Linked DNA regions of Zea mays. The protein of the gene in region 2 binds, or shares a complex with, the protein of the main gene of each other region. Links are inferred from orthologs where the notes say so. Each region holds a gene or a part of one and is shown on either strand. Other genes may lie near its edges. The genes, in order: rps4; 30S ribosomal protein S13, chloroplastic-like; 30S ribosomal protein S31, chloroplastic-like.

Region 1 (2,616 bases), on a different chromosome or scaffold from region 2:
GGATCCTTCCACTTAGATGAAAAGGAATTTTTCCATCCAATCCAATAGAGCCATGGAATTCCCGAGCCGTTGTGGCTGTACCTGTACTGCAGGAATACGAAAACTCGCTATTCACTCAGTTTATTTTCCATAATAAGATTATGTAGGAGAGATGGCCGAGCGGTTCAAGGCGTAGCATTGGAACTGCTATGTAGACTTTTGTTTACCGAGGGTTCGAATCCCTCTCTTTCCGTTTCTCTTAATTCATCAATGTTAGCGATCACAATGTATCAAATTAAATAACAATTTATTCCAACAATAATACCTTTAATTAATAGAAATTCTCTATAGCAAATTACTGTGGTATGTAAAATACACATCGAGGAAATAACAAAAAAGAAAAAAGTATCCTAGGGTTAATCTATTTCTGCTAGGTGAACGGGAAAATACGAATTAAGAGCCTTAGGTCGATTTAGTTCGGGGAAAGGGGAAGGGGAAAAAAATTCTATGAACCTTTCCTTTTTTCGTTAAGTTCAAGTCTGGCGAGAATAATATTCTACAACTAACAACTCATTTATTTTGAGACCGACCCACTTCCTATCTAGAATTTTTTTTACTAGTCCTTTATATTGCAATGTGTCAACCGTCAAATGCTTTGGTAATTTGCCCGGATCGGATGAAGCAATATAATTTTGAACCAAACGTTTTGATCGTTGGTTATCCTTCGTAGTAATAATATCTCGGGGTTTGCAACGAAAGCTTGGTATATCAACTATACGACCATTAACTAAAATATGTCTATGGTTAACTAATTGTCGGGCCCCAGGAATGGTTGAAGCCATACCCAATCGAAAAAGGATATTATCCAAACGCATTTCAAGTAATTGTAGTAAAACCTGACCTGTGGATCTTTTTGCTTTTCCAGCGATATGTACATATCTAAGTAATTGTCGTTCTGTCAGACCATAATGAAAACGCAATTTCTGTTTTTCTTGAAGACGAATACGATATTGCTCTTTTTTCCCAGAATGGAATTTCTTTTTCTGATTACTTCCGGATTTAGGCGTTTTTCTAGTGAGTCCTGGTAAAGCTCCCAGACGGCGTATTTTTTTTAAACGAGGCCCTCGATAACGGGACATGAAGACTCCTTTTTTATTTTATTGAAATTTCATTTTACACAATAAATTTCGTTCTATTTACATTACAGAATACAGCGAAATTCAAACAGAATTAAACTAAAGGATAAACAGAGTAAAATCTACTAAAGTAACACAAAAAATGGAGTAACACAAAAAATGGAATTTCATCAACATCTGGATTTTTTGTATATATATTATTTATTTTTATGCTTTGTATCTAGCAAAATTGTAAGGTAAAACGACATAATAGACCCTGATTCCCCATTTTATTCGGAGAAAAAGAGAAATTCTTGTTCATAGAACATCGATAGAAAAAAAAGCCGACTATCGGATTTGAACCGATGACCCTCGCATTACAAATGCGATGCTCTAACCTCTGAGCTAAGTGGGCTTACATAACAGAAATAGTGTAACAAATAAAAATATATATATAGGGAATCTGTAAAATGTCAGATCTTAATTATTAATCTTAGTTATTAACTAGTTCTAAATTGGAAGTTCCACTTAGATAGAAAAAAAAAAATACTAGAATTTCATAAAGATAAAGTTAGCTTGATATGCTTAACTAAATGATATTCTTAAATAGGATTATAGAATTTATTGAACTTTCTTTTTATTTCTCTAATTCGCAAATGGATTTTTTTAATAGAATCTATTCCAAATTCTATATTGAATTTGATTTCAGATATTTTCAATTTGATATGGCTCGGAGGAATAATCTAATACATAGAAAAGAAGAAAAAGAAGAATATATATGAATAATATAATAAAGAGAAAATGCCAAGAGATTGGCATTTTCATTTGATCATTATATACATTTTTGAGATATTTTGTTTTTTTATTTGTTAATAATTTAAGGATAAATAGTTCACTAAGGAGAAGATAGAATCATAGCAAATGAAATTTCTAATTCAGTTTAGAAAAAAAGAATGAATATCAAGCGTTATAGTATGATTTGGAATACTCTAAAAAAGGAAGGAGGGAGGCGGGAGAGAGAAAAACTTTTGGATATATTCATTCCGATTGAATTGCAAATATATCAACGATAAAATCAATGCAATTCTGAATTGCAATAAGCGAGCGGGGTGTCTCAAATAGAGATGAGTTGCTAGACTACGTCGAATAATGAATTCAATGATTCAAAAAAAACTAAGAGATGGATTAAATTATACAAGGAATCCTGGTTTCAAAGAAAAGTAAAATGGGGATATGGCGAAATCGGTAGACGCTACGGACTTGATTGTATTGAGCCTTGGTATGGAAACCTGCTAAGTGGTAACTTCCAAATTCAGAGAAACCCTGGAATGAAAAATGGGCAATCCTGAGCCAAATCCCTTTTTTGAAAAACAAGTGGTTCTCAAACTAGAACCCAAAGGAAAAGGATAGGTGCAGAGACTCAATGGAAGCTGTTCTAACGAATCGAAGTAATAACGATTAATCACAGAACCCATATTATAATATAGGTTCTTTATTTTATTTTTAGAATGAAATTAGGAAT
Region 2 (3,729 bases):
CGGGCGCCATGGCACGGCGCGACCCGGCACCGCCGCACGGGGAAGCGGAGGGAGACGGTGGAAGCTCGAGCGGGATTTTTGCGTGCGATTGCGGTGGAAGTCGTGTGATTTTCAATAGCAGGCCAGCAAGGCAGAGCATATCGCGTTTATTTGAGTGGTGGATAGAGCGCGCGGGCGCGGCGGCCCGGGTGCCGCCGGATGGGGGAGCAGGTGGTGGTGTCCGTGCACCGGTGCAAGCTTCGGCAAATAGCACACCACGGGATCACAAATTCACAGTCATCCGTCATCCGTGCTCTGCAAGTTGGGGGCTGATGAATGCCAGGAAACCTTAATGGCTTCAATCAAGTGATTCAAATCATCTTTATTTGAAACCAAACACAATTTAACCATCGTCCTTATCAAGAAAAAAAACATAACCATCGACGGGTAGCCAAAACTTGTTTTTTCAACTACATTTGTTAAGGGGAGAGATCTCGAATCATAACTCTTCGCCACATGATCATCTCGTGCAGGGATGAAAACAGGTATACCAGTGGCAGGTGAATAATCCCCAGAACACTGGATCTGGTAAATAGTAATTCGTCAGGAGCAGTCTGGACTCCTTGCATCGAGCATAGGTTGGGACAGAGGAATACAAATGGATGTAAACAAGAATTTGATCTTCATTTATAGAACCGACCCATATGAGCTAGTATGTCATTGCTACAAAATCTGCAGCAGCTGATGGCTACCCCATGATTTGTCAATGGCAGCATAAAAGCTCGAAACAAAACACCCAGCAGTAGTAGCGCTACACACACACACACACACACACACACACACAGAGAGAGAGAGAGAGAGAGAGAGAGAGAGAGAGAGAGAACTTCAATACATGGCAATACGATTTATTCATCCTGGGAGGCGGGTGACTTCTTCTTGGCAACTGAAGCCCTCTTTCCCTTAAGTGTCCGGCAGTTGTTCTTTGTCCTCTGGCCACGAACTGGGAGTCCAAGCTTGTGCCGGATGCCCTTGTAGCACCTAATCTCCTTCAGCCTCTCAATCGCCACACGGTTGAAACGTTTCTGTAAAGCATACCAAACAGCAGTGTGCCAGCTCTCAGCGTTTTCACTCCCTTGGAGTCCAACATCGATATAAAACTAAACAGTTAGGACAGTCAGGAATCATCTATGACTAAGGAAGTGAAATTAAATACGCAGACCTGCAGAATGAACTTCAAAGCTTTCAAGGAATCATTGATATGTTAACTAAGTAACTATGGTAACCATACAAGTCGTTAATCATCATGAACTACTGAATCAAATAACTGCAGCGAATAATCGACAAAGGGATCAGGGACGTTACAAGGTCTCCCTCAATCATGTACTTGCCAACCTCCTTACGGAGGGTGATGACCTCCTCCTCGGAGAGGTCCTTGGTGATCTTGTTATCGAAATTGAGGTCCAGGAGGATCTGGCGTGAGCGTGAGCGTCCAATGCCATGTATGTACTGCAGCGAGTACTCCACCCTCTTGTGGTTTGGAATCTCAACACCACCAATACGGATGCACTCGATCCGCAAGCCACCGTGACCGATTCCTCCCTTCTGTCAGGCCACCCAACATACAGCACAATCAAAAACCGCAAAATAAACCACCAACATGAGCCTGGGTATGAAGGGTCATTCAGATGGGGATAAATTAATGATGTATCGAAGTTCATGTTTGTGTCGTATTCAGGCTGTGCGCACAATGCAACAGCGATAATAAACAACAGCTCCTATAATCAGGTTCAGAATTTCAGATCCACATCAAAAGTCTAAAGAAACATCCTTTTCTTTGCTACTAGAATCAGTCATACTGCTGTACCATGAAACACTAGCATTACTGACAATGCGCTAGAAAATTCATATGCATGAACCAACACGCGCCATTTCCTACCAATGTATTGAAAATTAGCAGTTCACAGAAGACCATCCTTCCAACGCTCCTGACACGACCATCCCAAGTAGGCCTTGTTTTTGGATACTCTCGTATTCAGCACAATCAATATGTATTGATATAGATTAGAGTGAAACTAAAAAACTAATTTACACCCCATTCCAACAAGGCCGTACAGGGTTAGAAAAACAAGACACCCCAATCAGACAAGCTCCCTGGACGCAGGGGGGTATAGGGGTATAGCAGAAGGCGGCACTAACCTTAGCGGGGAAGGATGCGGAGGAGCTGCGGCCCCGGGTGGAAAGGGACAAGGAGGAGGGTGCGATGGGGACGGAGACCATGGAGAGGGTCGCCATTTTTGCTCTCCTGTGGAGCCGCGCGGAGGGCGAGAGGCCTGTGCGTCCCCGGTCTATCGGATAGAAAACCCAAGGGCGGATGATGATAAGGTTGCGTATGCGTAGGCAACCTTCGATGACCTAGTGGCCTTTCCCTATGTGTGTTTTGGACTCGTTGGCCCAATAGAAAATATAACTTTTTTCTACTCGTTCGTTCTAAAATAGTATTTCCTCTCTTCTAAATTAAAATTTATCTTATATTCATACAATATTTAATGTATGTATTTTAAAAGTGTCTAGATTTATCTTTATTCATTTAAATATAGACATAAACACTGAGAACTAAAACAACACATATATAAAGTAAACCCTTCAGATCTTTGATGAATCCAGCATTAGTCTACAACGAATTTTATTTTGGTACAGAGGGAATATTATTTAAGATGAGTATATATATAATGCATCAGTTTAAAATTTACAAAACCCACCAGGCAAATCATATACACACATAAGTACATAACCTCTATTGACTAGCCCTAAGGGCTAGTTTAGAAACTTAAATCTTCTCCTTGATTCCCGAGGATTCCCCTCAATCCCTAAGAACCTCAGAGGTGATTTAAGTTTCCAAACTAGCCCTAAATATTCCAAACAAATTATATCTAGACTTAACACACCATCAAAATCCATAGTTCATATTGCTGGATAACTCTCTCTCCCTTAGAGATGGCAATGGGTACCCGCGACCCGATACCCGATGGGTATTTACTCCATTAGGGTATGTATGTGGCTAAATATTCTACCCGTGGGTCTGTTATTGGGCAAAAATCTTCACCCAATGGGTAAACGGGTATTAGAACGTTCCGCCTTCACCCATACCCGTTAACCCGTGGGTATAAAATACCCAATATAAACTTAGCCCAAGTATGAACTTTGACTTTAGTCATCCATCTTTTTTACTATTTAACAACCTTTTAGGCCATAATGTCATAGAAGGCTTAACGACAATTTAATGACCATGTAATGTGCTATGTAGTATTATCCTAGTGTTACTACTTTATCCAATTATCTTTGGTGTGTTGAATGGATGGTTAAATGATACTAGAAATTTTGTAATGGTATTTAGATGGATATACTTGACATTTTTATCATATAATATTTTGATAGATGTTTAGCTTTTGTGGGTACGGGTGACCCGATGGGTGACCCATACCCACATGAGTAAGGGTATGAGGGTAAATCCATACCCGCCAGTGTATATGGGTGACCCGATGGAGTTATTTTTGTGTCGTGAGTATGGGTATGGGGTAGTAATACCCGGTGGGTATTTACCCATTGCCATCTCTACTCTCCCTTACTCAAATCCAATGGACAATATTATCTAGATCATCTATCACCCCTCCCTCCCTCCCTCCTCACAACCTCGCGGCCCTCAGCCCTCAGCCTTCCACTCCCTCCGCATCCCCGCCGTCGCTGTATCAA
Region 3 (3,767 bases), on a different chromosome or scaffold from region 2:
TATTTTCGGACATCCAAAAAACATGCTTCCTATGTGGGATGATGGTTATCTTTATATTTGTATGTTAATTAGTCTCTTTGCTGTTAAATTTCGTGTAAGTTGGTCCTGCCGATGGAGAATCGAGCAGCTCCCTTTTTTTGTTCTATCAACTATGCTGTAATTCTGGCTATGTATCGGCAAAAACAATTCTATATGCTGAGTTGGAGTCGGCAAAAATTCATATATGCTGAGTTGGAGACAGCAACTTGTTTGGATCATATTTTGCTGAGACACTCGTGAGAGATTGGCATAGCAAGAGACCTGAAAGTGTTAGCTGAAGTTTGAAACAAAACTTACATCATTGCAACACATATTAATAACACAACACGATCATTAGTTCAGCACGCAAGATCTTTGCACATTGCTGACGTATGAATAAATCGCTAGTTGGATTTTGTTTTACCTGTTAGGGCTGGATTGTTCGGTTAGAAGAGGATTGAAAGAGATTAAATCTTATTAATCCCCTTACAAATGAAACGTGTAATCTCTCCGTTACCACTAGATGAATCATTTAATATCTTCTAAAAAAAACTTATTTCGACACAGTTTCATTTTGAAGAGAGTAAAGAACTCAGCAGCTGGAAAGGAAAATAAAGAACCCAGTCAGTAGTAGGAACATTACTAGCCAAATGAAAGTGTGGCAGCCTACCCATCGATAATTATAGGCGAGGAAATAATTACTTAAAATATGTAGTATTTGATTTGGTACAAACTAGGCCAATTAAGCTCAGGGCAAATATAAAGCAAGGCAGAACTCGGACAACCTATTCCAGGATGTCCTCGTCAATCTCGATTGAAATGATCTCCCCATCATCGAACTGATCCTTCCTTGGAGGAGCAGGAGGGGCAAAGAGCCGCGCAGGCCCAGTTCCCTTCTTCTTGTTGCGCGGCCTCGCCTAGACATGATCAGACAGCTAAATAAAACAGAACAGGGGGAAAAAACCAAAAATGCGATGTAAATTGTGCTGGAGCACTCACATTGCCATATGAATGGTTGAACCTTTTGCCCCTTTTCGTTTTCTTGTCCCCTCTCCCGCAGTAGACTGAGCAAGACCAGATAAAGTTTAAAACTGTCTGTCAGTCCACAGGATCATCAGTATTGATATAAACAGAGGCCAAAAGGGACAGCACCCCAGTTGGGTTCGTAGTACAATCAGAGAATAAAATCCTGAAGCAGGCTATGGACACTAGAATTTCAGAAATTGATTTCAAATTATGATTAACTAAAACTTCTTTGAAGTACACGCATGAGAAGCATCCATCTTTGACTCTCTGTATTAATAAACCAGAAACAAGTGTTTACAACAGCTGAGGCCAGTGGCAACAGAGACGACCAAAACTATAGGCGGTAGTGATAAACAAGAGATTCAGCTTCCTTGATTGGCACTCACTCCTGACACCGTGTGAAGTGAATCAGTCAACCGGTAAAGGTTTAATAATCTACTACAGTAGTAGTTTTCAGTTCATATATATGCTCCTGCTCCTCGATACCGTAATTTTTTCGTGTGGAACAACTTAAGCTCTTAAGAATCCAGTTTCTAGAAACTAGTTTATAAAAAAAAAGGTTAATGGTGTTTAGAATCACCTTAATTTTTATAAATTGATTTTAGCTAGAGAAGACTAGCTTCTTGGTTTTTTAAGAAACTAGGAATCCAATTTCTATAAATTAGTTTGGAACCACGTCAATTTCTATAAAAAAAACTAGGTGCTTCCAAACAGACCCTTAGGCCATGTTTGGAAGCAACCTAGTTTTTAAGAATCTAGTTTCTAACTTCAGTTTCTATAAAGTGATTTATAAAAAAACTGGTTAATAGTTTTTAGAACCACCTCAATTTCTATAAACTGCCTTTAGCTAGATGGGATTAGCTTCTTGGTTTTTAAGAAACTGAGAATCCAACTTCTATAGACTGGGACAAAAGCTAGTATATTTGGAACCACCACAATTTTCATGAACCAGTTTGTTAAAAACTGGATGCTTTCCTTGGTCAGTCTAGTTGACCCAGATCGACTAACAGCATCACAACCTCCATCTCTTCTGGGGAGTACATTTCAGTAATAAATCCCTTGACTATTTCATAAAAAGAAGAAAAATCCCGATTGAATTGGAACGAATTTCCCAAGTGTCAGTGTAATAGTAGTCATTGCCTTTTCTCCCTTATTGCGTGGAAAACAGTAGCCATTGCTCGTGACATGTGTTAGAAAGAAACTACTCCTACATCGGACAAAAACAAGGGGAGTGAGGAGGTAGCTGTTTAATTACCGTCAAGAACTGGAGTGACGGTGGCCGACAAGACGGCGCCGACGGCGAACGCAGCCCGGGCGCGGGGGAAGGCGGCGGAGGCTGCGAGCGCGTAGGAGGAGGTGGAGACGTAGGATGAGACGGCGCCGTGGTTGTGAGATGGGAGGGCCGCGGCGGCGGTGGACATGGCCATGCCCTGGACGGCGAGCAGCGCCATGGGGGCAAGAAGGAGCGAGCAAGCGCAGGGAAGAGAGACTAGTGTGCTCGGGAATGGTGGTGTGGTGGATCAGGTTGGATAAGGGATAAAAGGGCTCGCAGTTGGAGCCACAGCGCACATCTAAGATGGGCTGCAGGGCTGGTGTGGGCTGGGCCAGAAGTAACCTTATCGGCCATTACTGTAAAGTATGGTGCACACACCTAGCCAGGCCGTCGTCGAGTCTGGTCAGGTCTTGGATCCTTTTCTTTCTCTTTCTTTTTTTTGATAATTAATATAATTAAGATGACCAAAGCTTAGCTTTGATTCATGCTAACAGAAAACAAAACCCTAGATGCTCCAGCGTCGTTCTCCGGCCCGTGCTTCTCCTGCTGAGTTAGGGTTCTGGTCCTTCTCGAATCTCGATTTCGGCGGTGGACTGGTGGAGGCAGACACTTGAACCCATGGTGGCCGGCCTCACGGCACCACCCGTGCAAGGTGCCAGCTTTCCGGACTGGATGAGCTCATGGCTTGTGCATCAACAAACCCTGAGGGTAGGGTGAGCGTCAAGGAGCGGCCCCGAGCTGTCCCCCACCCCCGTGCAGGCAATTTTCGGTCCTGGAGCTGGAGTTAGTAGTATTTGGGAGCGTGTGGCTGGAGCGATTCCAATTCATTTCAGCAACCGAAATACCGAATGGAGGAGTTGCCAAGGTCACTGTCAGGCACTCACCTGTGCACTACTGTACAGCACAGATTGAACGGTCGCTATCAGGTTCATGTCAACCGAGCAGAGTTTCAGTTTCAGTGCCCAATCATGAATAAAAAACCGATGGCCAAAATGTAGTGGTGGGAGAACGCCTCAAGCAAAGTGCCTTGCACGGAGTGGAGACGGTTCGATGGCATGACCTGACCACATGTGTCTTCTTTCTTCTGGAACCTCTAGAAGGAGAGGAACGGATGAATCCTCAACAACGCTCACGATTATGAATGGTGCAGGTGGCCACGAGAATTGAAGACGATATATATAGAGCAGAGAAGTAGAGGCCCCCTGATTTCTTCATTCTGAACAGTCCGGCAATTCGCCAGACGAGAAATGTCAAGCTAGTATATTATATATAAAACCCGAGACATTTTCCTTCTTTATTTACAACCATTACAGCGAGCAACGCCACCATGCAATAAAGCCAGCGCAACGGCGTGGCATGCCCACGAGAGTATCGTCTGTTGGTCGGCAACGGCTTCGCTTTGCCAACTCGATCCGCAGAGGATGGTCGGCTGCGGGTAACCCTTGTCGCT

The links.
Region 1: 30S ribosomal protein S13, chloroplastic-like (region 2) and rps4 share a complex: the UniProt entries of both Arabidopsis thaliana proteins name them as parts of the 30S ribosomal subunit. The link is inferred for Zea mays from reciprocal best matches to the Arabidopsis thaliana genes EMB3137 and rps4.
Region 3: 30S ribosomal protein S13, chloroplastic-like (region 2) and 30S ribosomal protein S31, chloroplastic-like share a complex: the UniProt entries of both Arabidopsis thaliana proteins name them as parts of the 30S ribosomal subunit. The link is inferred for Zea mays from reciprocal best matches to the Arabidopsis thaliana genes EMB3137 and PSRP4.

Annotation. Positions count from the first base shown.
Region 1 is NC_001666.2:46,645-49,260, forward strand, and holds rps4 (ribosomal protein S4), read right to left. Parts: upstream 1,119-2,616; coding exon 513-1,118; downstream 1-512. UniProt on the Arabidopsis thaliana protein: One of the primary rRNA binding proteins, it binds directly to 16S rRNA where it nucleates assembly of the body of the 30S subunit. With S5 and S12 plays an important role in translational accuracy.
Region 2 is NC_050096.1:271,762,995-271,766,723, reverse strand, and holds 30S ribosomal protein S13, chloroplastic-like, read right to left. Parts: upstream 2,389-3,729; 5' UTR 2,272-2,388; coding exon 2,176-2,271; intron 1,582-2,175; coding exon 1,342-1,581; intron 1,062-1,341; coding exon 885-1,061; 3' UTR 646-884; downstream 1-645. Other genes in the region: uncharacterized protein LOC100281127, read right to left, coding at 1-139. UniProt on the Arabidopsis thaliana protein: Located at the top of the head of the 30S subunit, it contacts several helices of the 16S rRNA.
Region 3 is NC_050098.1:170,389,864-170,393,630, forward strand, and holds 30S ribosomal protein S31, chloroplastic-like, read right to left. Parts: upstream 2,554-3,767; 5' UTR 2,496-2,553; coding exon 2,300-2,495; intron 1,083-2,299; coding exon 1,018-1,082; intron 936-1,017; coding exon 804-935; 3' UTR 591-803; downstream 1-590.